Rhinolophus ferrumequinum: one gene and its partner. The protein of the gene in region 1 purifies or fractionates together with the protein of each later gene. This does not show direct contact. Links are inferred from orthologs where the notes say so. Each region holds a gene or a part of one and is shown on either strand. Other genes may lie near its edges.

Region 1 (16,124 bases):
AATATTTGCAAATCATGTATCTGATAAGCAATTAATATCCAGAATATACAAAGAACTCCTACAACTCAACAATGAAAACAAGTATCCCCATTCAAAAATGAGCCAAGTACTTCAATAGACATTGCTCCAAAGAAGATATGCAAATGGCCAATAAACACATGAAAAGACGCTCTGCAACATCAGTCATTAGGAAAATGCAAATCAAAACCCACAAAAAGATATCACTTCATACTCATTAGGATGGCCATTATTAAAAGAAAAAGGAAAATAACAAGTGTTGGAAGAGGTGTGGACAAACTGGAATCCTTGTGGATTGCTAGTGGGAATGTAAAATAGTGCAGCAGCTGTGGAAAACAGTTTGGCAATTCATCAAAAAACTAAACATTAGAAGTACCCTAAGGTACACTCCACTCCTAGGTACATACCCAAAAGGACTCAAACAGATACTAGTACACCAATGTTCATTTAGGCATTATTCAAACTAGCCAAAAGATGGAAAGACTGTCCATCTACCAACTGATGAATAAACAAAATATTGTTAAATATTCCATGAAAGGAATATGCCATAAAAAGGAGTAAAATTCTGATATATGCTATAACATGGATGAAACTTGAAAACATTATGCTAAGTGAAATAAGCCAGACACAAAAGGATAAATATTATATGATTCCCGTTATATGAGGTACCTAGAACAGGCAAATTCATAGAGACAGAAAGTAGAACAGATGCTGGGAGAGGAGGAAATGGAATATTACTACTTAATGGGCACAGAGTTTCTATTTGGGATAATGACGTTCTGGACATAGATAGTTGTAATGGTTATACAACATTGTTAATGCACTTAATAAAACTAAATTGTACACTTAGAAATTGTTAAAATGGTAACTTTTATGTTATGTATATTTTACCATAGCTTAATAATAAAAACAAATAATAAAACAAAATAATAAAAACAAATGTAAAAAAAAAAGACATTGAAAAATGGGCAATGCACCAAATTCACCCATAAAATATGCACTCCCAGTAACCCAATAACTCTCCTTCTAATTCTTGCACATTCACAATGAAACCTATATTGCAAGACTGCGTGTGAAGAGCCACAGAGTTGAAACCCAACTGTTTCTCAATAGAGGAATGGTTAAATAGACAATGAAACACAATGCAGCCATTAATATCATTGAACTAGATATTTTCATGTAATGCCACAGAATGGCAAAAACACTGATTAATGAAAAAGCAAGTTGGTAACACTGATGTATAATTTTAAAACACAAAACAATATATCGTCTATGATATGTGTATCAGTAATAAAAGTACAAAGCAAGTATGGAGATGGTTGGGGTTGTTTCTGGAGAGGTGGGAGAGAGAAGAAATGAGAGGCTGGGCTTCAACTATATCATTAGCATTTTAATTCTTTATTAAAAAAACAGATCTGAAGCAAATATGGCAAAATGTGAACATCTGTTTAACTTGGCAGTGGATTTATGGGTCTCTATGACATTGCTTTCTCTACGCTTGAAATGTTTCATAATTAAAAATTAAAAAGGAAAAAAATTCTAGATCTCTCTGAAATCTTATATAAGAATTGAGATAGGGATCCAAACTTATTTAATTCCAGATGGCTAACGAATCATTCTCAAACCCCACAGAAATTATGTATTTCCCAAACACTATGTACACAGCTCCTACCGAGGCATCGAGGTGTGGGGAAGATGAAACTTCACCATGCATGCCCTGGAGCGAGGGATTTACTCAATCACACAGACAACGAACTTGAGTGGTTGGTCAGACTATGAGAACTAAAAAAGAGAAGCAACCAGGCAGGAATTCCCTCAATTTTCTTTTCCTAAAACCTGTAGACTCCCCAGCAAATATAGCACCCTCTCACTCTAGTTACAACCCTAGAGCCCCACTCCTCAGGATAACTGCTTTCCTGTGTTCTGCATCCCAGTACCGCCCACGTTCTCTTCCTGTTCTTTCTCGGGTACCTCAGCCTCGCCTTCTTTCCACTAGGTCCACCCAACATTTACACCTGCTCCCATGTTCAGACACAAAACCACCGAGTAGCACCCTCCCTGACCCCACAGCCCCTCACTAGTGCTTGTCTTTCCCTCTCCTTCCATCTAGACTTCACCATTTTCCTCCATACCTCATCTTCACCACCCCCACTGAAACTGCTCTAGCAAAGATCGCCAATGACCTCCGTCATCAAGTCCAACAAAGGACTGGGCAGAGGTGACTGGGGCTAGAAGACTTACGAATTTTCCTCTGGTTCCCAGGCCAGCTGTCTGAATTTTTATTTCTGTGTGCATATTTTGCTTTTATTAAAATAATAACTCCTATGATTACATACAAGCCGTTTTTAATTCTCCTACTCCTTGAAGGTTCGGATGCAGCCAACACCATGGACCTGTCCCTCCTTGAGACAGGTCCTTCCTGGGTTCCATGTCACCAGTCTCCTCTCCGGCCCTTCTTGGCAAAGCCCCCCTCTGCCCATGCTTTCAATGATGGCTCCCTCAAAGTTCTGGCCCCCCTTTCTCACTATATAAGGTTTCCTGGGGGAGGGGGATTTTATCCGTACCATGACTCCAATTATAACCAGTATGTTGATGACTCCCAACCCTCTGTGTTCAAATCAGATCATTCTCCTGAGCTCCAGACCCATAGATCCAACAGCCTGTTCAGATATCTGCACTTGATGCCTATAGTCACTAAAATCATCCTATTCAAAACCAAGATCATTTTTTACCCAACCTAATCCTCTTCCCACCCAACCTATCTCAGTAAAAAGAATCACCATCCATCAAGTTGCTCAAGCCAGAAATCGGGGAATCTTATTCTATTGATTTCATCCCCTAAATCTCTCAAAAAATTCCCATTTCTTCATCCCTGGGCCCCCTTGTTTTCTCACCTGGATCGCTGCAACTGCTTAACTGGTTTCCCAATCATGTGATATACTCCAGCCTAAGTGAGCCTTCCACACCAAAACTGACTATGTCATCATTTTGCTTAAAATACTTCATTGGTTCCCCCATGTTTCTCAGATTGTCCAAACTCATTAACATAGCTACAGACTTCATGACCTGTGACTTGTCCCCTCTGGACAGCTGCCCAGCTCCCTTCACACAACCTCCCAAACCACCTTCCCACAACTCTCTCCATCACTGTGAATAGCTCTCAAGTCCTGAGATAGGCCATTCCCTCTTGCCTCCTGGCATTGTGCATTTACTATACCGTCCACCTGGAATGCTCTCTTCTCTTTCCCACTCCTCTACAGCTACTGGACTAACTCCTCTTCCTTCCATTGCAGTTCAAGTATCACTTTCTCCCAGAGGCCTCTCCTTTACCTAGAATTGGTTAGTTCCTTCATTGTATGCTCCCCTGTGATACTTCACTCATCAGAGTTATTTCACCTATCAGAGTATTTATCCTACTTGTTGTGGCTGTTTATTTAATGTCTCTCCTGAGAACAGGACTTGGTCTCTCAGTCATCATTTTATCCCCAGTTTCTATTATAGCGCTTGGCATAGGGCCTGTATGTTCAATAGACGTGAGGAAAATACAGTCTTCACCTTCAGTTCTTAGTCTACTGAAGTTACAAAGAGGTAAAGAAATAATGAGAATACAATAAAGTGCTATAATAGATTATATGTATGGATGCTTATAGGTTGCTACGGTCTGAATGTTTGTGTCCCCCTAAAATTCATGTGTTGAAATCCTAACCCCCAATGTTACGGTATTAGGAGGCGGGGCCTTTGGTAGGAGCTTAGGTCATGGGGGCGGAGCCTCATGCATGGGATTAGTGCCCTTTCAAAAAAGACCCCACAGAGCCCCCTAGATCCTTCCACCATGTGAGGATACAACAAGAAGTCTGTGACCTGGAAGAGGGCCCTTACTCAGACATGCTGGCACCCTGATCTCCAACTTCCAGCTTCCAGAAATATAAGAAATAAATTTCTATTGTCTATAAGCTACCCAGCCTGTGGACTGAGACATGGATACAGGGGGATGTGGATGTATGTATATGAAATGCTGAAGAACTAACTAACTAACACAACTAACTTCTGGGTTAGCCAAGAAAGTTCACATAAAATAAATGATATTTGACTTGGCTTATCATTCATTTTATTCATTCAAGGAATAATTTCCGGGCAGCTACTTGGCGCCAGGCACTGTTCCAGGTACTAAGGACACAGGAGAAAAAAAGCAGACCTTGTGCCTGACTTCTCGGAGCTTATTGTAGTGGGGTAGACAGGGAGAGATCGTACACTGAAACGAGTAAGATAATTTCAGGAAATGACACATGCTTCAAAGAATATAAAACACTGGAGGCGTTTACCAGGATGGGGGCAGAAGAGTGCATGCGTGTGTGTGTGTGTGTGTGTGTATGTGTGTGTGTGTGTGTGTATCTCTGTGCCTATGTCAGGTCTCCCTGTGGAGGTGTCACCGGCATATTCGAGAATAACCCGAATGAGGGGATTAAGCCAGCCATTCAAAGACATGTGGAAAGATGGAGGGAAACAATGAGGCCTACTAGTTAAAGGAAAGAAAGAAGGCCAGTGGGGCAGAAGCACAATGAGTACATATGTCTCCAGGCCAGACATCATCCCTGAACTCCAGAATCACACAGGCCGCTAGCTACTGCCGACATATCACCACTGGGATGTCCAATAGGCATCTTGGCCTTCATATGCCCAACACCAACCTAGTTTTCTCCTCCAAACCTGTTCCTTCGTACTTTACTAAATGACAATTCCAGTCTTCCAGTTGCTCATGCTAAAACCCTGCAGGCAGTCATACTTGACTCTACCCCACAGCCAATCCATCATAAAATCTAATTGGCTCTACCTTCAAAATATATCCAGAATCCCAACTGCTTCCTACCACCTCTACTGCTACCACTCTGGTCTCGGTTGAAATATTTGGATCTTATCCTCTGAACACGGCAGAATCATCAAAACTTTTCGAGGACTGGGCGGAGAAGCGACACATGCTTATAGTATCATGTTGGAGCCAGCTCACACCAGTTCACAAGACCCAACTAGCAAATTTTCAGCAACGTTGCAAGACAGTTGACATCATGGTAATAGCATTAATTTGACCATGGTGGGAATATTTATAACATGGATATTGGCAAATATTATAAATCAGGACGCCCCTCTCCACGCCCCTTACCCTACCCTAATGCTGTGGATGTGCAACATTTACCAGCACACAATTGTATGTGCAAATCTGTATTACAGAAAGGTAATTCTTGTTATGTGGTTCTCTACAGGTGTGTACATTTGTGAACACACATTAGAATCACCTAAGGAACTTTTCTCACCATACATCTGCCTGCCTGCCTGAACTCATTGAGGACCACTGCACCAGAAACACTTGTTAAGAGGCTGTTGGCAGTGATGCAGGTGAGAGATGAAGGTACCAAGCATAGGAAAGAAGAAAGTTGTGAGAGAAATCTAGAATAGACTGGACATGCTTTGGCATTTACGAGAGAACTAGATCCCTTTCCTTTATAGCACTCCTCAGTTTGTAATCACAGACTCATTTCTGTGGTTCTTTTGTTAACATCTGTCTTCCTTTCTAGACTATGCACTCCACGAGTGCAGGGGCTGTGTGTTTGCCTACCACTTTATTCCCAGAGCAGAGCCCAAAACCTACTGAAGAAAGGAGAACACAGTGAAGGAGAAGGAAGGATCAACAATGACCTTCAGGTTTCTAGATTAGGTGACAGAAAGGAGAAACATTGAAAAAAAGAATAAGTGTGGTTGGATGTTCGGAGGGGAAGACTTGGGAAATGTTGACTAGAAGTGTTTCTGAATATCCAAGCAGTGATATCCAGCTGGCAACTAGAAATAAGAGTCTTAAACTTGGGTTTAGGGTCTGAGAGAGACCCTCATGACTGTACAATGCAACCTTGTCCTCTTCTATTAGAATCTGCAATGTCACTGAGGGAGTATCAACTTCCCTCTTTCAAAACTCACCCGAACCTCGGCCTCCCGGGGTCTCCCATTGAGGTCACACTTGGATCCATTGACATAGGTCTGGCTGTGGTAGCGTTTCAGGCGATGCTGCTTGGAAGCCTGGAGAGGACATCAGGCAGGAGCGGTGGGATAAGAAAGACAGCAAGAAGGCAAGAATAGTACCTTGTCCTAACGGCCACCAAACCCCAGGAAACAGCTAATTCTAACCCTCCCCTTCTTTTCAGGGCTCTTAATCTGCAGCCAGGACCCCTTTTTCTCCCAATCCCACACTCCTGCCACCTTGGCTGTTTCATCATCCCAGTCGAAGGCCGATTGGTAGTAGCCGAGATACAGAACTTCACCTTTGATCTCTGAATCTGCAAGAGAAACCACAGCAAATTATGGTTACTCCCTTCTAAGAGGACTAGGAGGGAAGAGGACTGAGAAGGCAGGTCACCTTCCATGACAGGTTGCTAAGGGCTTAGGGAAAATGGAGGTGTGAGTCACCTTCCATGTGATACTGCTGGATGTGTCGTCCATAACAGAATTCATATGTCCACCAGTCCTTGGTCTGACAATAAAAAAATAAACAGTCAGGGGGATGGAGTGCAGATGTCTCTTCTTGGAACCAGAATCTCTCCTGGCTCCAAGACACATAACCTATCACCTACTTCTCATCTCCCTCTGCTTCCACACTCAATTCGCCAGATTCTCAATAAGGAGGGAGGGCTGTGACTCAGAGAGATACTTATAAAGTCTGTTTTCCACCTGTGGGCTTTTTAAGCCTACCTTTTTAATGATTTTTTAATCCTTTTTGCTCTCCATAAAGATAAGAAATCATGATATCCTTGAAGCACTAAGACCAGGGAAACATAAAATATTACAATATTAATTTAACTTCTACAACATTCCCGTGCTGTTCTGTCACTGGGGATACAGCTATGAACAAGAAAAATTCTCTGACCTCATGGCCTTTAGTGCTGGGACTAGACCAAAAATAAATACACTGATGATTCAGTTAGTAAGATAATTTCAGATCATGAAAAGTGCCATGATGAAAATGAAATAGGATACTGGGGCAGACAGTGATAGGGGCAGGGGGTGATTTTACCAGGAAAGCTTCTCTAGAGGAGTGCCCCTCCTACCCCACACTGACCCTCTTTAGGGTCAACCCTTGGCTTAACCCTTATTTTGAGATCTTCTATCCTAACCCTACTCTACATTCAGCGAAGTGTCACCAGTGGTTGCAAAATTCTTCGTTTCTTTCCTGTCTGTACAATGTATACTCCTCCAATGGCCTTCTTAACTTTGACAAGTCCTCCCTATCCAGCCTTACTCTCTGGCACTCTGGTTCTCAGATAGAGTTAGTACCCAAGCCCTCATTCCATACATCCCAGTCCTTTTCACCTTCAGCAGGCAGGGAGCATCTTTCATTGGGCTCAACAACTCAGGGATCCCAGGCCCTTGGTAAGCAGGTGTCTCCTCCTCCCTTTCACGCTGGAAGTGAATAGCTCCAGCTGGCAGGCGACATTCATAGCGCTGTTTGTACTTAGAGGAGACAATCACCACGTCTGAAGCTTGGCTCTGGGAAAGAAGGGAGAATAGGTGGACAGGGAGGCAAAGAGAGCCTAGGATCAGGCAGAACAACAAGATCCTCTTCAGACCCCGGGGGAAAGCCCAGTCAAGACAGAATGAGCCACAAGTCCTCCTAAAGCTTTGTTTAGCAGGTGACGGGAGAGGGCACACCCACTGCTCCATAGGGGCGGAGTCGGGGGGGTGGTTTCGATCAGGAACTAGGACCTGAAGCTGACAGCGGGAAGCCCCACCCCTCCCAGTCCCTGGCCCCAAGGGAATGGGTCTCAGTCTGCGATACTCAGGAGACATCGTAAAACTCCTACCTACTCTTCCTGATTCTCCCGCCGCTCCTTCGGCTTTCTCCTTAGCTGCCCTTCTTCCTGTACTTTTCCCCCTTCCCCTTGCCCCGGACCCTTGCCCGCTCTACGCCTCCTTACCTGCCCTCCCATGACAGGCAGCGGCAGGATCTCGATCCCATAACGCATCTCACTCAGTTCTTCCAGGTTCAGGCTCCCGACACAGCCGGTCAGACTTGCAGGTAACAGGAGCCCCAAAAGCAGAAGCCCCAACAGCCTGGACAGCAGCGTTTCTGCCGCCATCTTTCGTTCCCCTCCTTATCCAGAACGACTCCTTCCGCCCTAAACCTGGCAGCAGCCTCACCACGCCCATTAACGCCCCAAAATTTCATTGGCTAGATGTTCTGTCCCTCTCACCTACCTTATTCCCATTTGTAAACGTGACTTCAAAGCCCACGGGGAGGTGGATCACGACCATTGGCAAAATCACTCGCTGCTCGTAATTGGTTCGAGAGGCTAACCAACCATCGACGAGATAAGACCTCCTCCCACTCACTCCCACTTCCAGAAAGGCGTGGTCTATGCTGGGCCCTTTTAAGCAGTTTTCTGTCTTCGCACAGCTGTCACCCGCATCATTTCTTATTACTTTTTTTCAGTCGTTTCTTGCACTGTAGTTTGTCCCCATCGGGTGGAGGCTTGAGGCCAATGGGTGGATGCACGCAAAACCCCTGAAAGATACTTAATACTTGTTGCAAAATAATTATATAAAAGCGCTCCTCTTTTCATATATGCATACAACTTTAGGGCAATCTGGTAATTTGTGTCAAAACCTTTCTATACGATTCTGTCTGTACAATATGTTTTCCTCCAATAAAATTATCATAAATAAATAATGGGGGCTTCCAGTTAAAGACTGGGGAGAGGGAAAGGCAAATACACAAATTATCCTCCAGACCTTGTAAGACCAACGAGAAAGAGAAGGAGACAACAGCAGCAACATTTCAGAAGTTAGAAAGCAAATGTAAGAATGGTAACTGGTTTAGCAAACCTGAGAAATTGATTCCTAAACAAAGGTAAACATGAGCATGATTGTACCTAGAAAACTTCTCCGGGGAATCTGACCAACCCAAAAGAGAAGTCTCAAAGAGACTCTCATTAGGGTCCTCTTAATGAAATAGATGAAGGAATCCTACAATGAAGCCTTGGTCTACATGTCCAGCTCTCACACGATTTTTCCAATAAGCTTTATAATGTCCTCACTCTTAAATATAAGTAGACAGCCAAAGATAATTAGACAGTTAGGGAAAGTCTTTTAAAAAGACAAGAAAGAAAGCAAAACAAGCAAGAAGAAAAAAATAAATTTAGAAGAAACAAAAATTGCAAGGGAGAAAAAGACTTAAATAAATCCATCATTAATGTCCTCAGAGAGATAATATATTGTATCCACCACATAACAACAGGAAGCTATTTTAAAAGTAACTACAGGCCAGCCCGGGTGGTTCAGGCGGTTAGAGCTCCATGCTCCTAACTCCGAAGGCTGCCGGTTCGATTTCCACATGGGGCCTGTGGGCTCTCAACCACAAGGTTGCCAGTTCAATTCCTGGACTCCCGCAAGGGATGGTGGGCTGTGCCCCCTGCAACTAGGAAACGGCAACTGGACCTGGAGCTGAGCTGTGCCCTCCACAACTAAGACTGAAAGGACAACAACTTGACTTGGAAAAAAAAGGCCTGGAAGTACACACTGTTCCCCAATAAAGTCCTGTTCCCCTTCCCCAATAAAAATCTTTAAAAAAAAAAAAAGTAACTACAATTCAGATAAGGAAAAAGAACTCTTGGAAATCAAAACCATGATAGCAGAAATAAAAATTCAATGGAAAGACTGGAGGATAAAGTTGAAGATCAAATTACTCTACTTTAGGAGAAAATTAATAAAAATAAGAGGATCTCTCCAGGCCTGGAAAGAGAACAGAGAATCAGAGGGAAGAAATAATCAAAGAAATTATTTTAAAGTATTCTCCTGAAATGAAGAACTGAGCCTCTAAATTGAAAGGGCACACTAAGTATCCAGCAAAACAAATCAGGCCCACACCAAGATACATCATTATACACTATCAAAACATCAGGCACAGAGAAACAATTCCAAAGTTTCCAGAGAGAAAGAACAAGTTGCATACAAAGATCAAAAATCAGAACAGCGTTAGGCTTATCAATTCATCAACACCGTAAGGGAGAAGACAATGAAGAAATGCCTTCAAAATTTAGAAGGAAATTATTTCCAACGTAGAATACTACATTCAGCCAAATGGATTTAATCGTAAGTCCAAAATAAAGATAATTTCAGATATGTGAACCCTCAAAATATTGATACTCTAGGCATTGTTTTTCAGAAAGACTGGAAAGGATTTATTATATCAAGACAAGTCAGTAAGTCAAAAAAGAGAACAGTATGGAGGGATCCCTCAAGAAATGAGGGATCCAGCACAGAAAAGAAACAAAAGGAATCCCCAAAGCAAAAGTAAATGGAGATTCCAAATTGTAGAGCAGGCCTAAAGATCAATTCATCAAGATTAAAGCAGTTCAGAGGATTTGGGAATGATTTATTTAAGAAATACAATTGATAGAATACCTAATGCATTTGAACTTATTGAGAAGACATTTGTATAAGCAGAGGAGAGTGTGGGGCAATATTAAGTGATAAGCATGTAGAAAGGTGAAAGGGGAAAAGATAGCAATTCTAAAGAAAATAAAAACTTGTGCTAGGAATGCTAACCGTCTTCTGTTTTCTTCAATATGGTTGGTTATCCTCATACTAAAAACTGAAAGTCCTGAGTAAAATGTAAGTATTTTCCTTCTTAAAAGCATGGTAAAGCCAACAAGACAGTAAAGAATTAACCGGCCAAGCCGGCCCGGTGGCTCCGGTTGAAGCTCCGTGCTCCTAACGCCAAGGGCTGCCCGTTTGATTCCCACATGTGCCAGTGCCAGATGGCTCAGTTGGTTGGAGCGCGGGCAACTAAGATTGAACACGGCACCCTGAGCTGAGCTGCCGCTGAGCTCCCGGATGGCTCAGTTGGTTGGAGCGCGTCCTCTCAACCACAAGGTTGCCGGTTGGACTCCCACAAGGGATGGTGGGCTGTGCCCCCTGCAACTAGCAACGGCAACTGGACCTGGAGTTGAGCTGCGCCCTCCACAACTAAGATTGAAAGGACAACAATTTGACTTGGAAAAAATCCTGGAAGTACACACTGTTCCCCAATAAAATCCTGTAACCCTTCCTCCCCCCCCAAAAAAAGAATTAACCGGCCAAAATCTAAATGAAGTCAGAAAACTAGAGAGGTATATTCGAAACATTGCAGTCACCTTTGCATGAAGGGAATTTGCCAAATTAAAGAATTCAGGTTTGTTGTTGTGTTGTTTTCTCTTGTTGTTGTTGTTGTTTTCTGAAGGAAGGGACAGAAGGCCACTCAAGGTGGAGAGTCTGAAAGAAGATCCTTCCTGCAGCAAAGCTGCCCCTAGTTCCCCATATCCAGGGAACTGCAAGGAGGGTTGCCTTGGTGCCAAACAGAGCAGGGGAATTTGTGACCACAAGTAGGCCCTTAAAGAAATTTGCAGTCCAGTTTCACAACATTTGGGTGGCTAAAAAGATTCAAGCTGTAAATTTAGATTTAAGTGGTTCCAGGAAGAGAGTATAATGCCCTAGGTACTTGGCAGACGGAAACACAAATCCACTCTGGAAAAAATGTCTCTTCATCCTAGGTACCAAAGAACTCCTACAAATCATTTGCCAAGGAAAATTAGTAGCTCATAATAAAAAGTAGGTAAACACAAAAGAAGATGAGGTGCCATGGAGAGAACCAGAAGAAACAATAGCAGAAGCTGAGCCTGAAAGACTTCAGATAGTGTAAGTATCTGACACAAATTATACAATAATTATGCTTACTATACTTAAAGAATTAAAAGAGAAACTTGAAAATATATCAGCAAACTATAAAAATGACCTAACATATTTAAAATACAGGTTCTAGAAATGAAAAATATAAAGTTTTAAATTAAAAACTGAATGGATAAAGTAACTAAATAGTTTAAGAAGCAATTGTTCTTCATAGAAGAATTCCAACTAATAAGTGTAGAAGGAATGATATACTGTCATCATTTTACAATCCTAATGAAATAATTGATCTAGACAATAGTCATCAATGAACTGTCAGAAGCATCAGGTAAGAGGCTTATAGGTGAATCAAGCTGACATCATGTATATACACTGATAAAACTTAACATCATGAAGAGGAAAAATCAGAAATTACATGTTTCTTGATGGGATACAATAGGAAGTACAGAGCATTATCTATGAAGGATTCTTGCCAAAAATACAGAACTTTAAATATAGCTGCCAGTTTACAGGAAATAGGAGAAATAGGAGAATATGTTAAATGACACCACCAGAATGTAATTCTGATGTAATCAGAAATAAAACATGATCAATGCCCCAGTTTTTTCAATAAATACATTGCAAGGGGAAAAAAAGGGGAGGAGCATAGTTAACGATTAAGAGATTTATGAAACATATCAATGAAATGCAGTGGATAGATCTCGTTTAGATCCTGAATCAAACCATCTATAAAAAGACTTTCATGAGTCAATGAGGGAAATTTGGACACTGGATATTATATGATATTAAGATATCTTTGTTAATTTGCTAGATGTGACATTAAATTTGTTATGCTATGTTAAATTTGCTAGATGTAACAATGGTATTATTGTCACATGTTATGTTATATTATAAAAAACAGTCCTTCTCTCTAAGAGACACATACTTATGTATTTACCAATGAAATGGCATAATGTCTGGTATTTGCATTAAAATAATTCTGTGGGAGTCTGGGAGAAGTGGTAAGGGTATAGAGGAAACAAAATTGACCATATTTTATAAAAGTTGAAGCAAGATAATAAGTACATGGAGATTCATTATACTTTACTTTTGATTGTATTTGAAGTTTTCCACTTAAATTTTCTCTTCAGAAACTCAAAGAGCAGTTTATGTTTAACTGAAGATAGGATTAATGAACTAGAAAATAGATTAAAGAAATTATCCAGGATGAAATACAGAGCAATAACGAGAGGAATATGAAAGAGAAAATAAGACACACGGAGAGTAAAGTGAGAAATCTAATTGGAGTTCTAGAAGGAGTAAAAGAGAATGAAGCAAAAACAATGTTTGAGCATTTCCCAGAACTAATGAAAGATACAAACCCACAAATTCAAGAGGCCCAACAAATTTAAAGAATAAATAACAAGAAGAATAAATAACATAGACATATCACAGTGCAACTTAGTAACATTAGAGAAAAACAGCAGATCTTAAAAGCATCCAGAGTGTGAGTTATATGATGTATGCATTTGTCAAAACTCATTGACCTACAACATATAAGGCCTGTACATTTCATTGCATATAAATTTTACTACAATAAAAATAAAATTAAATTAAAAGCAGCCATAGAAACAGATTACCTTCAAAGAATGAAGTGGAGAATAGGTAAAAATCCTACATGATCACTGACAGTAAAAAAACAATACTAATGTCTTCTAGAGTTTAACATTAAGATATAATTAAAACACACCAAAACAATAACATATACATTGGGAGGCTGATGAATAAAATTAAATTGTTCTAGGTTTCTTGTATTGTCTGCAAGGAGAGTGTGCTCATTATCAAACTATATCTTTCAGTTTCAAATCCACTGTTCTATATACTGCTGTGATCCTGGGGCTAGTATTCTGAAAACCACATTTCAATTTTTTCTATTAAATAGACTTTTTTTTTTTTTACAAGTTTCAGGTTCACAGAAAAATTGAACATAAAGTACAGAGAGTTCCCATATAACCGCTGTCCTCACACCCTCACAGCCTGCCCCTACCATCAATATCCCACACCAGAGTGGTACATTCATTACAATCAATGAACCTACATTGACACATCATTATCACCCAAAGTCCACAGTTTACACTAGGGTTCACTCTTGGTGTTGTACATTCTATGTATTCTGATAAATGTATAATGCCATGTACTTACTATTGATAGTATCATACAGAACAGTTCACTGCCCTGAATATCCTCTGTGACCTATTTATTCACCCCTTCCTCCCCAAAAACGTAGGCAAACACTGATCTTTTTATTATTTACATAGTTTTGCCTTTTCCACAATATCACATAGTTGGAATCATATAGTACATAACCTTTTCAGATTGCTTCTTTCACTTAGTAATATGAGTATGGACTTAAGGTTCTTCCATGTCTTTTCATGGTTTGACAGCTCATTTCTTCTTATGGCTCAATAATATTACATTATTTGGATGCACCACAGTTTATTTATCCATTCACCTACTGAAGGACATCTTGGTTACTTCAAAAGTTTTGCCAATTATGAATAAAGCTGCTATAAATACCCATGTGTGGGTTTTTCTGTGCACATAAATTTTCAATCAATTTGAGTAAATACCAAAAAGTGCAATTGCTGGATTGTATGGTAAGAGTATGTTTAGTTTTATAAGAATCTGTCAAACTGTCTTCCAAAGTGGTTTTACCATTTTGCATTCCCAACAGCAATGAATGAGAATTCCTGTTGCTCCACATTAGCATTTGATGTGGTCAGCGTTCTGGATTTTGGCCATTCTAATAGGTATATAGTAGTACCTCACTGTTGTTTTAATTTGCAATTCCCAATGACATAGGATATGAGGCATCTTTTCATATGCTTATTTGTCATCTGTATATCTTCTTTGGTGAGGTGTCTGTTCAGGTCTTTTTTCCAATTTTTAATTGGGTTGTTTGTTTTCTTATTGTGGACTTTTAGAGTTCTTTGTATATTTTGTCTAATATTCTTTTACCAGATATTCTTTTTCCCAGTCTATAACTTGTCTTCTCATTCTCTTGACAGTGTCTTTGACAGATCAGAAGTTTTTCATTTTAATGAAATCCAGCTTATCAATTATTTCTCTCATGGATGGTGTCTTTGGTGTTGTATCTAAAAGTTATTGCCATACCCAAGGTCATCTAGATTTTCTTCTATGTTATTTTTTAGGAGTTTTATAGTTTTGCATTTTACACCTAGGTCTATGATCCATTTTGAGTTAACATTGATGACAGGTACGACTGTCTCAATTCTTTTTTTTTTTTTTTTGCATGTGAATGTCCAGTAATTCCAGCACCATTTGTTAAAAAAACTACATTTTCTCCATTATATTGCCTTTGCTCCTTGGTTAAAGATCAGTTGGCTATTTTATGTAGGTCTATTTCTGGGCTTTTTATTCTATTCCATTGATCTATTTGTGTATTCTCTCATCAATAGCACTATTTTTTTTAATTATAGGAAGTCTTGAAGTCAAATAGTGTCAATCCTCTTTGTTCTCCTCTTGTAATATTGTGTCTGCTAGTCTGTCTTTTACCTCTCCATACAAAATTTAATATCAGTTTGTCAATATCAACAAAATAACTTGCTGGTAATTTGATTGGGATTGTATTGAATCTATAGATCAATTTGGGAAGAACTGACATCTTGACAATATCGAATCTTCTTATCCATGAACATAGACTATCTCTCCATTTATTTAATTTTTCATTGATTTCTTTAATCAGAATTTATAGTTTTCCTCATAAAATCATTATACATATTTTATTATATTTAAATTTAAACCTTAGTATTTCATTTTTGTGCATGCTAATATAAATGGTATTGTGTTTTTAATTTCAAAGTCCGCTTGCTATTGCTCATATATAGGTAAGCAATTGACTCTTCTTTTTTTTATTGTGTTAATATACACATAATATAAAATTTTTAACCATTTTTAAGCGTACAGTTCTGTACACTTACTTTCCAATCGTTGTGCAACCATCATCATCACCCATCCTATAAACACTTTACATCTTATAAAACTGAAATTCTATTCCTATTAAACAATACCTCCCTATTATCCCCTCCCTCCAGCTTCTGGCAAAAACCATTATACTTATTTTTTTGTCTTTATGACTTTTTTTTCCTTTCCCCCCCTTCTTCCACTACCTCCCCACACATACACACTCTCCAGTTCAAGCCATTGTTTCTCAGTCTAGTTGTATAGGACACAGCTCCCTGACCCATGCTGGTATTAGGAGCCTTGCGTTCCCCCGGCTGAGGTCTCAGCCGGTCAGTCGGCTGCTCACATCTGGCTGCTGGCCCGGCTCCCGCTGGCCGCTCCTGGCAGCACACGGTAGCACACAGACGGCTGCAGCGCAAGGCAGCCAGCTGCAACGCACA
Region 2 (16,230 bases), on another chromosome or scaffold:
TTGAGGGCTGCTTAGAAGATTCTAGATGAAAATTATTGGCATCAGTCATACGTGGCATCTCCTCGTCCGAGTCTCCCTGCCCCTTATTCATTGGCGGTTCTTTGCATTCAGGGAAATCACTCTGTTCTGACTCTAATGACCTTTTCCTGGACCAACATGTGAAATGCAGGGGCCTGGCCATGTCCCTCCCTGCTATCCCAACTGAATGTCACCATCCTGGAAAGTCAGAGGACATGGGAACCTCGGGGTCCCCTGAGCTCAAGTTTCTCATTGGATGGGAGATGGAGACTGAGGCTGCAGAGGGAACAAGACCTGCGGAAAGTCGCACAGCACACCTGGGACCCAAGATGGGCTGACTCCAGCCTCGCTGCTCTCAGATCCGCCTCAGATCAAGGAGCCCACAGTGTGAAGGAAGCAGCCCCTGACATTGACTGTCGCCTCCCCTTCCCCAGGCTATTTCCATAGACTGTTGAAACGGCCTCAGAATGCCCTCTGGGGCCCACGGGTTCCTCCTTCCACTACACTAGAGTTGTTCTAAGTTGTTCCATGAAACTATTCCCTCATGCACGCTGCTAAAGTTTGCCTTTCTGGCTCTCTGTTGGAGGACACATTGCATGTTTTACCTCCCTCCCTGGTAGGGGTGTGCAGTGCACCTGAGAACGTTCACACCGTAAAAGGCTCTGAAAAGTCCTGCAGGGAACATGGGGCTTTAACTGTTTTCCTCATTGCTCCCTAACCTACTTCATCGTGGAAAGGTTTTTAGTGGTTGTGTGAGGACACTTGAATAACACATGCAGAGATGCACAGCCACATCACATCGTGTACTGCCAAGGAAAGTTTAAGAACTGACTGAGAATATTTGGGGATGTTTCCATGGGAACAAGCTCTGGCTAGTGGTGCAACCTACCTCTAAAGAAGATGTAATTCACCAGGGCAAAAACTGTGTTTTTGTCAAGCTCTGTGACCAGATCCACAATTTTTCCTTGGGTGCCCTTCTCTACATAATCGTTGATCCGTTTCTTGGCTGCCTCGGAATCCTGGAAGTTGATGGAGAAGGCTTCTGAGTGGTACAGTTTCTTGATGTCCTCCAAAAACTTATCCACTAGCTTCGCCTTCTCGCTGATGAACAAGCCATTACCGGTGGTCAGCTGCAGCTGGTTGTCTGGCTGGTTGAGGGTGTGGAGGAGATTCTGGAAGCCTTCGTGGATATCGGCCTCTGCTCTCTCGGTGAGGTTGAAACCTAGACCCTCCAGGATCTGGGTGTGAGTTTCCCCCTTGGTCCCCAGGGAGAGCACTGCCAAGGCTGCAGCGATGCTCACTGGGGAGAAGAAGATGTTGGACTTGGACTGATGGGCCACCAGGCGGTAGAGGCTGAAAGCGAAGTCTGCCAGGTTCGGGGCAATCCTGTGGCTGGCCGGCTGGTCACAGAGCTTGGATGCATTAGTCTCCTGGACACCGTCGCCCTGGAGACCCTCAGCCAGGGAGCCAGGGACCAGGCAGCACAGGCCTGCCAGCAGGAGGAGGCCCCACGTGATGGAGGATGGCATTGTCCTGCAAGAGGAGAAGGGGCCCCATACCCAAGTCAGGCATGTGGTGAGTCCCCCTGGACACCGATTAACACCATGAAAAGCATCCAGAGTTTATTAAGCATCTACTATGTGCCAACCCTATGCCAAGCCTTTGCCTACGTCAGCATCATTGGAAGACTCCCACCAGAATCACACCCAGATCGTCTGGGTCTGGAATTCACACTCTCAATGTCCCCACTAACATTTGCAATGGCCCTGAGGTGCAAGTGCCAAAGCTCCTGTTTTACAAAAAGGGTAACTGAAGAACAGCAAGCATAAGGTACATGCACACGATACTCAGGAAGTGGCCAGATTAGACGTGGGGATGATTGGATCTGGAACAGCCCTAGGAGCACTGCCATCGAACCCTGTTATTTGGTGGACAGAGAGGCTACTGCCCAGAGGGGAGGATCTTACACAAGGACATACAACCAGAACACAGCGGAGCTTTGAGGATACTCAGGGTTGGGGTGGGGGGTTGTGTCCCGTGGACAGTCACGTGAGCCTCAGCCCTTACGGCCAGAGGGCTGCCCTCACAATGAGTCTGTGATCTCGGCCATATGAATGGGGTGTCGTCCCTGCAGTCAGCTTAGCTGCTTATCCCGGTCACCACCTGTGTGTGTCCCAGCTCTGGGCTCAGCAAGGACTGGGTGTTTGAGACGCGCGTCTTTCTCGTGTAGCAGGGGCTTCTGTGTGTTTGGAGAGGGGTAGTTATTGAAATAGCATCTTTTTTCTCTTCACACAGACCTGGTTCCTCGGTACAGATCATTTAGTCACTCTGGCCCTCACTTAGCCTCATGTACAGAGTGAGGTTGTTAGGAGAACTTAATGAAATTAGTATAGACATCAAGTCTTACATTGAGGGCTCTGAGAGAGCAGCTGGATGAAGGAGAGGCTAGTCGGGGGTGCAAAGTAGAAGCCTTCAGAGGACAGGCAGGGGAGGGAAATGTGATCCATGGCTGGGGGGTGAGTGTGGGGCCAGACAGGTGGGAGGGGCAAGGCCTGTGGCTGACCCAGCAGGCGCAGATTCTATTTAGGGATGGTCACTGTCACAGCAGCGACGCAGATCCCTCCTTGCCCCACAGAGCTCCCTCACTCCAGATATCCCCAGCGCCTGTCTGCAGCCCCCAAGCGCAGCCTGCTCTGCTCGTGGATGTTGAGATGCAAGCAGAGGAAGGTGTGTCTGTGGCCGCCTATGAGGTGTGATCAAACAATATGGTGAATGTTGAAATAAACAAAAATATATTACTTTGGGGGAATAGAATCAATAATGTGGTAAAGATTCTGTAGGGTATTCGATGGACACTTGTCTTATTGGGGACACCGCTTCATGGATGGTGTAGATGCCTGGCCACTGTACTGTACACCTGAAGCTGAAGCTGAATAATAATGAATATCAACTATAATTTTATATATTTATAGTCACGGGACATGGAATACAGCATAAGGAATAGAGTCAGTGGAACTGTAACAGCTATGTACGATGACAGAGGGGTAGTAGACTGGGGGAGGAGGGTTATCACTTTGTGAGGGGTATAAATGTCTAACTAGTACATTGTGTTACACACCTGAAACTAATTTAAAAGAAATATTACAGTAATGGACATTACCATTAGTCCTCCTCAAAATACCTCCCCCCCGCTTTGAAGACATGTATCCCATCGTCCTCGCCACTTTCTGAAGCAGTTCTGGAAGTCCTCTTTCGTGAGTGTCTTTACTTGCACTGTCGTGGCTGCCTCCATGTTCTGAATCAATTCAAAACGTTTCCCTTTCATGGTCATTTTGACTTTGGGTAAGAGCCAGAAATCACATGGTGCCAGGTCCACTGAATAAGGTGGATGAGGACACACTGTAATGTTTTTATTTGACAGAAATTTCCATACCAGAAGCGATATGTGACACGGACCACTGTCTGATGGAGAATGAAATAAAGACACTCACGGAAGAGGACTTCCAGAACTGCTTCAGAAAGTGGTGAGAATGGTGGGATAAGTGTGCTTGATGCGAAGGAGAGTATTTTGAGGGGAATTAATGGCAATGTGTCTTTTACTGTAATACATTTTTAAAAATTTAAACATTCACCATATCTTTTGATCATCCCTCGTCGCTAGGTATGCCTCACATAACTAAAACCATCATTTTATAAAATACAGAGACAAAAGAGTCCTTGAATTGGGCACATAAAAACCTGAGTGGAAAAAGTTGGAAATAAGAAAGGCTGGCTTTCATCTATTCCCTTGGACTTTTAAAAGTTTTTTTTCCAATAAAACAACAAAAAGAAGCACCAAACTGGTCTCTTCCCACCACCTTCTTTCTAGCATTCATGCCTCTAAATAATCCAAACAAAGCAGACCATGCATTACATAATATGTGTTTATATTTTTCTTGAACTAGCCTGTGGTTTTAGAGCTGAATCTTACTAAAATTAGTTCTGTATGTTTCCATCTGCCTCAGGTTTCTTTTGACTTCCTCTAGTGGGTGTGGTCCTTCAGAATTCATGGAAATTCCCCATCTTTGTAGGCAGGACCCAGAGATCAGGAGAGATCAGAGATCTTAGGTGTGGTCCTTCAGAGTTCATGGAAATTCCCCATCTTTCCAGGCAGGACCCAGAGTTCAGGAGGGATTAGGACCTTGGCAGGGTGGGGACACGAAATATGCCAAAAGACCTCAGGGCCAGAGGCTGTGGCTTCTAGCCCTGACAAGGCCACTGCTGTCCACTTGGACTTGGGTAAACATCTTCTTGTCCTGGGGCATTTTCTCTCCATGTGATAAATCAAGGTGGGGATAGACCTAACTGAAGTCCTGGGCACTAACGTTGGATGCTTTATGAGAGGGGCAGCCAGGTTAGGTGGCACAAACTGGACTGGGACGTCCCATGGGGAAGGATGTGGTGAGGTGCCCTCTCACTTAGAAGGTGGCAAGCCTGCCGTGAGGCTGAGGTGGAGAGCGGCTACAACTGGGCGAGCGCTTGTTGCCCCCAGTCCATCTTCCTGGGTGTTAGATCACCCGCTCCGGCTTCCTCCCTCTACAGTAAGGGGTGTGAAGCCCAAAGCCGGTCAGGGCCTTGCCAAGGCCACACAGTGAGGCAGTGACAAAGCTGGAACAAGCCTTGGTTTTCTCGCCACTTGAACTACAGACTGAGACAGCCATGTCCTCAGGTCTCAGATTCTACGATTGTCAGCATTGGGCCCTAAGGGACCCTGACCTTCAGCCTCCTGTTGGCTTTATTTTGCCTCCCAATCTGTTTCTTACAACTTTGGGGGCCCAAGATTTCTGCTCTCTCCTCGCCCTTCTGTCAAAGGCAGCACCCCACACCCTCCCCAAAGCCTAGTGCCAGGGAAGCCACCCCAAGATGAGAAAGTAGAAGTGAGGCATCCGGAGGTGTATGGACCAAAGGAATGAAGCAAAGGAATGAAGACATCATGATGATGTTTCCAGAGTCTGTAGCAGGTAGGGTAGAATGAAGGGAACCATCCCTTTTGGCTAATCTCATACCGTGTCCACCCAGAAGCATGAAACGAGTGGCTGACGGTGACCTAGTGGGTTTCAGGGAAACAACTGTGCATGAGGTCACAACCTGCTGAAACCTGGCATTTAATAAGCCCAGGTGTGACCCAGCTCTGCCACTTACAGGCAAGTGCCTTGGGCAAGTGACTTCACTTTTTTGAGCCTCATCTTCCTGTTTGTAAAGTGGAGAAAAGAATCTCTTACAGGGCAGTTGTGAGAAACAAACAAGGTGATGGCACCTACCAGGTATGGCAGCCTCCCTATACCTGCATACAGGCAGGGACCACGCTTGAGAACTGGCAGATTTCTTCCTGGCCAGTTACCACATTGCCCAGGACCAGAGAAGGAGCCCCTGCTCAGCAATGAACCACCTTTGAGTTTGGAAAATTTTAAATTCAATCCTCTAAATATTTATTTATTGCCTATTAGCTGCCAAACGCTATGCACGGCAAACATCACATCACTGTCGTCATCATCACACTTCGCAAATATCTGGTACTTGATATGCACTGTTTCATCTAATCTTCCTTCAAAGCTTACCCTTTTGGGTGGGAATTATTATTAGCCCCGTTTTCTAGATGGAGAAATTGAGGCCTACAGAGGTTAAGTAACTTACTGAAAACCATGGAGCTAGTTGCTTACAGAGCTGGGATTGAACCCTAGGCATTTCAATTTCAGAACCTGGCTTTCAGCCTTTCTCTATGTATCAAGCTGAAGCCAGAAGCCTTGAAACAGAAAAATGCAGAGGTGTCCTGGCTAAATCAAGAGGAGCAGCATTGCTTTGTGGCTAAGCTCAGAGGCTACGAGGCCAGAATGCTCGTGTTCCACGTGCTATCAGCTGTGTGATGTTGGATAAGTTACTTAACCTCTCTGAACCTCAGTTTTCTGGAAATGATAAGGGTGTACTTCCTCATAGAGTTATTGTGCAATTTAAATATGCGCAAAGTGCCAAGAAATGCCTGGCACACAGTCAGCTCTCAGGAAGCATCAGTTGATATTGATTTCGTTGTGGGTCTTTCAGAGCACTATATGGGAGTCCAATTGCCTTGGCTATGGTCATCTTTGTAGCACTAGCTCCAAAATCCAATGACAGAAAAAAGAAATCATATCCTTCAACACTCCAGAGGTCAAGGCCAGTGGGTTGGGGTGAGAAGAAAGAGGGCAAAGGTTATCTATCTATTGCCTAAGAGGAAAGAGAAGTTGAGACCGCCCAGCACCAGTGAGGCCCGAGGCCAGCCCGGGCTTCCCGCGTCCCAAATGGCGCCCAAGGCCCCAGAGAATTAATGTTCGCAGTAAGAAGTGGATCAGGAGTATGAGTGCTGGAGCTAAGTGCCCCGAGTTTGAATCCTGGATGGTCTGTAATTTGGGGCAAGTTATAAACTTCTCTATCCTCATCTATAAAATGGGAGTAACCACGGTAACTACTTCAGAAGGTTGTTGTGGGGCTTAAATGTGGGACTGCTTACAAGAAGCCTAGCAGCCACCTGGTCAGAGGGAGGGCTCAGGAACACCGCTCGGCGCCCCCATGATGGTGCCCCTCCCAGCGTTTCCCATCTTGCTCTGTGCATGAGGACACCCAGGGCCAGTGCACAGGGAGGCCCATTTTGATCCCTCCAGGCTGAAGCCTGGCACAGCTCCGTTCTGAGCATTTCTGCAGAGGATGGAGGCCCGATGAGCAGCTGGGACTCTGGGCTTCTAGTCTGGACTGGCCTCCCCACCAGTTCCCCTCAGTAGCCTGGGCTTCCCACTGTCCCTCTCTGGGCCTTAATTTCCTCATCTGTAGCACAGGAAAAGATACCCAGCCAAGCAGTAGGGGAGGGGAGGCCTACTGGAGATGACTGGCAGGAAGGGTGCAGCTCTGCCAACAGAAACATGCTCCTTCCTGGGTCCCAGGACACCACAGCCTGCTTATCCACAGCCACCTCCACTTCTGCTTATCGAGGGCCAGTTTATTCACCAGTAGGTACTGGGGAGGCCCTGGGCAGGCTCTGGGGAGCAGGAGAAGATCTTCAAGGATGCTATTGCTATGACGACAGGAGCCCCCCCCACCCCACTCCACTTTCCATACATCTCTGGCGGGGGTGACGGTGGGGTGCTGCCTGGGTATGCAGGGACCCCGAAGCCCCCTCCGGAGACTCTCCCCAGCAGAAGGCATACGTACTTACGATTCACTGTCCTGGGCCGGGGCTGGTGACCAAGGCTGAGGAGACAGAGCCCTGTCCTCGTCTGTATTTAAGCAGTGGACCCAGAGGCGCGATGGGGGAGGCTGCTGGTGAACATTAACCAAGGTCAACCCAGTTATCGGAGGAGCAAACAGGGCCTAAGTCCGTCCTCCTGACAATGAGCTGCCCGCCCACGCTGCCTGTATGTGCTCTCCCTGGACAGCGCACAGCCCGTTCTCCACAGACCAAAGGGAATCATTGTCCCGCTCGTAAATCGCGGCATCCTGCATCCAAGGTGGGGGTGGCGTGAGTCAGGCACTTTGGGACAACATTACTGTCCTGGCCCTACATTTGCACTGGGGAGTTCTCCATGGCTGCCTTATTGGTAGCGAGAGCTGCCATTTACTGAGCAGCCTTGAAATACCTGCTGCTGCTGACGCACTGCTGCCATGAGCAGTGGGTATGTGTGTGGGGGGGCTGAGGGGTGGCGGCTGCAATGGGTGATGTGCCCACTTGTCAGACAGGGAAACTGAGGCCCATAACACACAGGCTATTCATTCCAAGTCAGATACAAAACCTCACTCAACTTCCTTGAGTTGAAACGGGGGGTCTGATTGACGGGGACGTAGCCATTTTAGGCTGGGTGGCCGTGGGCACAGGTCAGGGGTCAGAGAGTACATTTAGAAAGAAGAGCTGTGCTGCTTTAGGCACACTGCTTTACCTCTCTGAACCAGAGGGTGTTTTCACCTGCACCACCAGGGTTTGGAAGTCCTACTTCCTACGGTACCATGGTTGTCAGGGATACACAAAATGGCTTATGTAAAGTGCCACAGTAGGCTCTTTATTTTGGTCTACACAACCCTCTGGAAGCCCTGCTCTCCATGCTTCTCTGGGCAAGAGGAGGCTCAACTCCCCGCCAGGCTCAGACCTGTCTATTTCCGCTGGATGTGGCTCCTGGCAGACCAGTGCGATCCACATACTGCTGGAATTTTCCTCAGGAATGTGGCCCCGGTCCAGCTCTATTGCAGGCCCTTAGGGGCCCTGGTGGAGGTCGGGGGTGATGGTGCAGGGTTGAGGCCAGTAGGGCCCCACTTGACTGCGATCCCTTTAAAAACCTAAGGCAGACCACATCGCACTCTGTACCCCCTCCCCACACCCACACCTGCTTGAGACATAGTGTGTACTCCACAGGTATTTGTTGAATGACTGCATGGGTGAGTACATTTTTGTCTCCCTTCTCAGTTGTGGAACTCTGCCAGGTGAGTGACCTGCAGGTTCGTCTAGCACACAGGTTCAGACCAGGGAACCGGCTCCCCACTCATGGGCCATGAGATCTCGGGTAAGCTGTTTAACCTCCCTGTGCCTCAGTTTCCCCATCTGTATGATGGGATCACGACAGTACTAACTTTGTCGAGCTGCTATGAGGATTAAATGCAGCAGCTCAAAATGAGCTCAGAGCCCAGTGTTGGTGTGCACAGGACGCCCACCCCACCCCCCAGTGCCAGGGGGTCTCCCAGCGGAGGGCGTGAGGGAGGGGAGCCGTCCCTCTCTGAGCTCGTTTCTGCTCCTGCATGGGGGTGGTGCACACCCCCTCACAGTGTACTGCACTGAGCGACTGCATGAGAGGTCCATCCCCTCCCGACTGCCCAGTTCCACAATCTGGTTTCAGGGCCCCAACTCTTCCCCCTGAGCTGGCTGAATGGGCGTCTCCCCCACAGCTCTACATCTATTTGTAGCTTAGAGAGCTAGGCTGTGGCTGAGGTGAGGCCACCCTCCACACCTCTTGGGCATTTCTTCTCCTCCTTGTGCCTCAATTTCCCCATCTGTACATTGGCCTTTCTCCAAGCTTGTCTACCCCTCCCACCGCTCGCACTGGATGGACAACAGCAAGCACCCCACTGTCCAGGCTATGGCCAAGTTCGGCCCCCTCAGCCCAGTGGCCTGGGGACTGAGAGGAGGGCTGTCCTCCCTCTACCTCCGATTCCGAGTGCTGTGGTGGCCACGCCTCTTGTCGCCCCAACCTCCTGCTCTTCCTCCTCTTCCTCTGGAGCTTTGGGGTGCTGAGGGCTGCAGCACGCAGGCCACACGTGCCCCAAGCACAGTGCCCAGTCTCTGCCGCCTAGGAGGAAGGAGTGGCCGGTGGGGGCAGTAGGTCTGGGAGGGGCGGGGAACTGGGGCAGGAAGCTGCCTTGCACAAAGCTGCCAATAGCTATCAGGTGACCCTTCCCTGCCCGGGCAGTCCTGTGTGTCACCTGCTATTCCTGCTCTGTTTGGCCTATGTGACCCAGGACAAGTCACCTAGTTCCTCTGCAAGAGGGATGGTGGCACCCAGTTCAGAGGATTAATGGGGATGACAGGCATCCCCCTCCTGCCCAGGGCCTGGCACCAGCATCTTGGCAGATTTCCAGGGCCAGCTGTAGAGAGAAGAGGATGAGCCACCTCTGAATTGCCCAATGGGAGCCCCATGGAGGCTGCGAGGGGTCTGTGTGTGTCCCAGACCCTGGCTGGGTACAGAAGGGATGCAAGACATCACCGGGAGTGCAGAACATTGGAGGAGGAATGAAGAAAGATGAGGGGGCGGGAGGAGTTGGAGAAAGTGAGGGGCTCAGGGTTGTCCCTTTTGAGTCAAGGGCTCTATGCTCAGCCCCTCCTTACCCTCATCCTCACACTCCCTCACTCCCCGTTCCTCTGCAGAGAGGTCTCCTGGACACGTCCTGGGAAGAAGGGGGTGAGAGGATCTGGGAACCGAGAAGGCACAAAATTCCTGGGGTGGGGGAACCCAGTGGCCATTCTTGAAGCCACTGTGTCCCATGAACCACAAAGCATGGTAGGAAATGTCTTGTCCCCTCGGTTACTTCTGGAATCGTCAATTGCAACGTCTGGAATAATTCCCTAGGAGTGAATGCATCAGAGGAAGATCCTGTAGGCTGGTTGTAAATAATGGGAACCTGGGGACACCCTTCCCCTCCATAGGTCCTGCCTAGAGAGGGGAGTAGGAGGGAGAGAAACCTGATAGCTGAGGCGTGAGCTCTGCAACAGGAAGAGAGGGGAGAAATGTGCGAGGGGCCCTGGACTAAGCACATCAGGGACCAGAGACCTGGACTGGTCAGGAGAGCGATGGTGAACTTTAGGGGTGCTGTACCCATTGGCAGACTTCCCTGGGGAGTGCGGGAGCCAATCTGTCCCATGCACACACACAGATATGCCACATGTACCCCCACTCTTGGATCCCCCATGCTCATTATGGGATTGCCCCTCCAGGCACTGGCTCTCTTCTTCAGGGGGCAGTATGGGGCAGGTGTGGACTTGGTTGCTAAGCACCTGAGTTCAATCCTTAACTCCACCACTCTCTTTTTGTGAGGTCTTAGCCTCGTTAGCTCTCTGGGCCTCAGTTTTCTCATCTGTGAGAAGAATGGTTACTTCTACCAGGACTGCAAAGAGTCAATGAGATGACGAGAGTTAGGGCGGCCTCAGGCACAGATGGGCCCGAAGTCAATGCCAACCACGGTATGCTCTTTGGGAATGTGTCCTGGGCCTGGGAAGCCTTTCAAACGGGTCTCAGGGGACTGAGCAGGAGGAAGATTTGGGGGGCAGCACTCTTTGTCCCGGGACCAAGAGCTTGCACAGGCCCAGGTGCAATTGCATCTTTCTGAGCATGTGTGAGGTCCAGAGGGCCGAACTGGGCATGGGGTGGATGGAGCCGGGCCAACTTGGATTCAGAGGAGGACTTCCTTTCATCTCTCTGAGCCTCAGCTTTCACATCTGTAAAATGGGGATAATATGAGTCTTTCTCTTAGAGTTCTTATGAGGGGATGCTTGTGAAGTGTTTAACACCAGGCCTGCTCTTTTCGCATAACCGACACTGTCTGTCTTCTCATAGCTCGTTAGTCAAAGGTTCTAGCTTTTAACTTCCAGGTGATGAATTGAAGTTGCACCACTGGTTCATCTTCTCGTGACTTGTTGCAAATCTTGCAACTTGCATCCCCCTAGTGGGCCCTGTTTCCTTCCTCTTTCTTCTGGAGCCACTTCCTGTGTGTGGTTTGATTCTTGCTTTTTCTGAACTATTTGGCTAATTCACAGCGTGTTGTCTTCATTCCTCATCCTTACTCAGCGAATAAGAAGACAAATCTATGCACTGGAAGCGACATTATAGTTAATAGAAGGAATAGAACGCATCTCTAGCTTCATCCTCTACTTGTTAAAATTAAAAAAAAAAGCACTAATGTTTTTATTATAAAGCTAACCTTTTCTACACTTTAATTTTACCCCTTTGAATTTATGGGCCATTGTGGCCATTATGGACTTTCAATTTTTAGGAGACTGACCTTGTCCTATTTAACTAGTTCTGATATTTCCTTTTAGAAGCTCAAGTTGTCATATTTTGATGAATAGGAGATCCTTTATCTCTTTCACCTTTCAGCAATCTTTGCTGACATTTCAGAAAGCACACGCTTGTTTTCTAGCAATGACATGTGTCCCAGGCCCATCTGCATTTTCTCCTGTCCCAAGACATGGCATCAACGACCCTCTGGGGAGCTGTGGGAGACCCCCCAAGGACCTTGGGACTTGTTTTTCAGAAATAGAAGCCCTACGTGGGTGGCTCAGATAATAGAGAGCAATAGGGCTCTTAAAACTTGCCCAACTCGGACCTTGGGTTGCAATGGTTCGATCCACCTTGTTGTTTTTCCTGTTGATTTTAAGCATTTCTGTTTGCTTGGTTTTAACGAGTCTCTCACTGCTTTCGTTTTGCAATACAAATCCCCAAACTGACTCCACTGAGTGGCCTATCTGCATCATAGCTAATATTTCTTGAGCACATACTATCTGTTTGCCAGGCGCTGTTTGAATGGCATTCAGTGGGTGCCATTAATACCCCCTTAGTACAGATGAGGAGGAAACTGAGGCACAGAGAGTTAGCGAGATGCTCACAACGCAGGCCCATCCGACCTGCTGCCTGTTTTGTAAGGTCGGCAAGTCGAGAATGGTTTCTACGTTTTTTAAATGGTTGAGACAAAAAAAAAATCAAAAGAAGCATAATGTTTTGTAACACAAGGAAATTATATGAAATTCAGTTTTCAGTGTCCACATGTAAGGTTTTCTGGGAGCCTAGTCATGCCTGTTCATTTATTGCCCATGGCTGCTTTCATGCTACGGTGGTAGAGTTGAGTCATTGTGACAACGACGCTGTGGCCTGCAACGCTGAAAATATTTACTATCTGGGCTTTTCAGAACAAAGTTGCTGGTCCCTGCCTGAGGTGACAGTCACATTCACCACCTCCATTTGTCTATCACACCACTGCCTCCTTGGCTGCCAGCTTTTGTGCAGGCTTCTCTCTGTCCCAAGATGGAAGCACCTTCCCCTTTCTCTTCACATGGCGGACTCAGTGTGTCCCCCACCTCCAGGCCCAGGACAAACTCATGGCCCCGTCCTGATCCCCTTGGCCACAGCCTGGCCTTGCTGGGTTAGGTCTCCCTCCTGCTGCTTCCTTGGCACTTTGTACATATCCCTTTAGGACACTTACGGTAACAGGTGACAATGACTGAGCAGTAGCGCCCGCCAGACACCAATCTAAGCACTTAAGAGAGATTAATTCTTCTCATCCTCACAATAGGCCTACAGGGTGGGTGCTTTTGTTATTTCCATTTCGCAGAAACTGATGCTCATAGACGCCAAGCAACTAGCTCTAGGTCATGGAGCTGGTGGGTGGCGGAGGGGAGATGTCAATCAGGCCACGTGACAGAGGGCAGGGGCATGGAGCCCCAGAGCTCGGCTCTAACCCCAGACTGCACTCACCTGAGGGCAGGGCCGGGCTTTCCCCAGCTCTCTGACTGCGCTGGGCACAGAACAGGTGCTCCGCAGGTGCTTGATGAGTTAAAAGGAATGAAACAGAGTACAAATGGAGCATGTCTTTGGCAGAAGGTTCAAGTGTCTTGCCAGGGTGAAAGCGTGAAAAGCTTTAGAATGTAAAAATGTGTATGGGGCATGCAACTTCCTAATTAACAAACGGTTGTTTCGTCTGTTTGAGCTGGAAGCCGTCATATGATCTTGCCCCTCACAGCCAGGACCTAAAGCCTGGTTTTCCTGCTCGCCAAGCCTGGGCTCCCACCAGCACCCAAAGCCGCTTCTGCCATCTGCCTCCTCAGTCAGCCCTGAGAAAAGGGGACCCGTTCACGGGAGAACAATGGAGCGAGGACTGAGATGGAATAGTGAAATGCCACCGAGGGAAGGGGATGGCATCACACCCGCTGTCCCCTCCTTTAGGTCTCCCTGTGGCTCAGCCTTTCTCCTGGGCCCCCTGCCCAGGCGCTGACCCTGCCATCTCCCCGCCCCTACAGCTGCAAACAGCATCCCCCCAGCAAAAGCAACCCGTTCTGTGGGGCTACGGGGCTGCCAGGCCCCGCGAACACAAATGCTCATCTTGCCAACAGCTCTGCGAGGAAGGTTTAATGATACCCATTTTGCAGGCGAGGCTCAAAGAGAATAAATAGGATGACCCTGTAAAACCTGTCCTGAAGCCTCCCATCGCGCCACCTCTGCACCGTTACCACCTGTACGTGCCACCATCGCTTCCCTGCCTTTACTTTCTATGTATTTATTTTTATTGAGGTGTTAGTTAGATGCAGTGAAACCGTAAATCCTAAGTGCACAGCTCGATCCATTTTCACATTTATGTACATCTGTGTAACCTCCATTCAGACTGAGATGTAAAGAACAAATCCTTCCAACCCAGGACATTCCTTCCCGTCAATCTCCCCATCTTCCCCGGAATGTCACTTCTGCTCTCACTTCTGTCTCCATAGATCAGTTTCACCCCTTCTAGAAGGGCATGTAAATACACTGTGTACTTTTTTTTTTTTTTTTTTGCATCTGGCTTCTTTTGTTCAATCATGTTGTTGTTGTTGTTGAAATTGATGGAAGTTGCTGCCTATATCAGCACCTTGCTCACGCTTCTTGCTGAGTACAGTTCCATTGTAAGGACGTACCACAATTAGTTCATCTGTTGATGGATGTCTAGATGCTCCCAACTTTGACCATCATGAAAAAAGCTTCTGAGCGTTCAAGCGCGAGTCTTAGTGTGAACCTGCTTTCATTTCTCCTGGGTCGGTGCCTAATCCTAGGGTAGCGTGCACTAAACTTTGTAAGGAACTTCACTCTCCTCTGCACCTTCCCCTTGCCCATGTCTGTGAAGGCTTCCAGGACAGCAGTGGAGAAGCAGTTCAAATCCCAGATGTGCCTTTAAATGCTGAGAACCTGGAGCCAGCCACCCCATCTGCTTTGTGGATTGGGGATGATAATCTTGACATTGTGGGGGTCCAGTGAGGATTATAGGACACCCTGATCACGAAAGGCCTGACTCAATAAATATCATTTCCCTTGTTTTTTTCCACCCTTGGGGCTGTGTGGCTGTTGTTTTAATGACAAGCAAATGGAAATTAAATAGTTCAGTGAAATGCCTGGGAACAAAATAACAAAATGGTCCAGGAATTTAGTGAAAAATCAATGATTTCCATTCTACTTAAACCAGTTCTCAGGGGCTCGAATTCAAGTTTTCACCTTGTGGAGTGTTGGGCAAGCAAGGTAAACATAGCTAAGTCAACACTGCCTTTGGGAAGAAGGTCTGTGCTGAGCAAACAACAGGATGCGTGTTTTTCTGGGCCTCCTTCTGCCCTCTTCCCCTGCCTCCACTGGGCTAAAAGGGAGGCAGGTATGAAATGCCCCGTTAAGGAACTCCACTAGGTCCTGGAGGTAGTGGGGTGGGATTAAGGGAGAGGTACCCTTCTCCATCCCAGGGGCTGGAGTCTCCGGTTCACGGGGGAGGGGAGACATTCAGGGGCTTGTAGGCACACGATTTACATACACACAGGCAGATACACAGAGAGACATGTTACCACCCTCTCGTGAGACTCTGAGACTCCCCTTTCTTGTATGAAAAGCTCTGGAAAAATGGTGGTTCCGACACTGCCTGGGATGGTGTGGACCATGGGATTATGGGCCAATCAGAGCAGCCTCGGTCACTGTGAACAAGTTACTTAACCTCTCATGGCTCCACTATCCATCCTTATCTGTAAATGGAGATTAGAGTTCCAAAGTCTTAGGGTGGTTGTTAGGATAAAATAAGGGAATATATGTAAAGGACCAGAGATAAAACAGACACTCAACAGATGTTGATTCCCTTCTCTTCCCCTTTCCTCTTCTGGTTTTTTGGTTTGGTTTGAACATGAAGACGTAAAAGAACAACTGTATAGGGCAAGAGCTTATATATCTAGAAACTAAAGTATATGTATAGAAGTTTCTGGAAGGAGATAAACCAGTGGTTATCCTGGAATGCACACTTACCAGTTGGAGGGACTTTTTGTCCTTTGTATATTCTTGTGTGTTTATGTTTTCACAACAAGAACAGGTTGCTATTATGAAAAAGCACATCTTTGACTCCTTTTAACTTTAGAACCAAACAGAAGGATGCTGTATGTGACATCTGGATCTTCCAAAAAGTTGGCTTGCCTGGGATTTCTCTTTCACGTCTTTGGCTTTCCTCCAACCACCCTAACCCTTGGACGTCACTCAGCCTGATGGGGCGGAAAAGCTTTCCCGGGGAAGTCAGCCAGCGCAGGGCTCAAATCCTGGTCTGTTGTTTATTAGGTGGGACCTGAGGAAAGTTCCTCAATCTCTCTGTGAGCCCAGCAAAAAAATAGAAGTTGTATCTACTTCAGAGAGGTATGGGGAAGGCCAAACAGGATGGCAATATATGACCCAAGCCTGTAGAAACTGGAGCAATTGGAGGAGCAGCTTTCCTCCCCTGCAATGTGTCGGTCACAGTCCCCAAGGAGATGGCCCCTGCAGCCACACAACAACCCTGTGCCAGGGGCACTGCCTGTTATTATCTTGCTCTGCAGGAGAGCAGCCAACACTCGGAGAACTTAAGGGGCTTGTCCAGTTTTGCCGTGAAAGTCAGCAGCGTTCCTTCTTCTCTGTCTGTACATTACAACATAAA

What was found.
Region 2: the proteins of OS9 (region 1) and SERPINA1 purify together in Homo sapiens (affinity purification with western blotting; 4 studies listed by BioGRID). This does not show direct contact. The link is inferred for Rhinolophus ferrumequinum from reciprocal best matches to the Homo sapiens genes OS9 and SERPINA1.

Annotation. Positions count from the first base shown.
Region 1 is NC_046293.1:56,595,288-56,611,411, reverse strand, and holds the start of OS9 (protein OS-9), read right to left. Parts: upstream 8,181-16,124; 5' UTR 8,139-8,180; coding exon 7,977-8,138; intron 7,549-7,976; coding exon 7,372-7,548; intron 6,536-7,371; coding exon 6,472-6,535; intron 6,342-6,471; coding exon 6,265-6,341; intron 6,085-6,264; coding exon 5,986-6,084; intron 1-5,985. UniProt on the Homo sapiens protein: Lectin component of the HRD1 complex, which functions in endoplasmic reticulum (ER) quality control and ER-associated degradation (ERAD).
Region 2 is NC_046289.1:8,774,511-8,790,740, reverse strand, and holds the start of SERPINA1 (alpha-1-antitrypsin), read right to left. Parts: upstream 7,345-16,230; 5' UTR 7,237-7,344; intron 1,552-7,236; 5' UTR 1,548-1,551; coding exon 908-1,547; intron 1-907.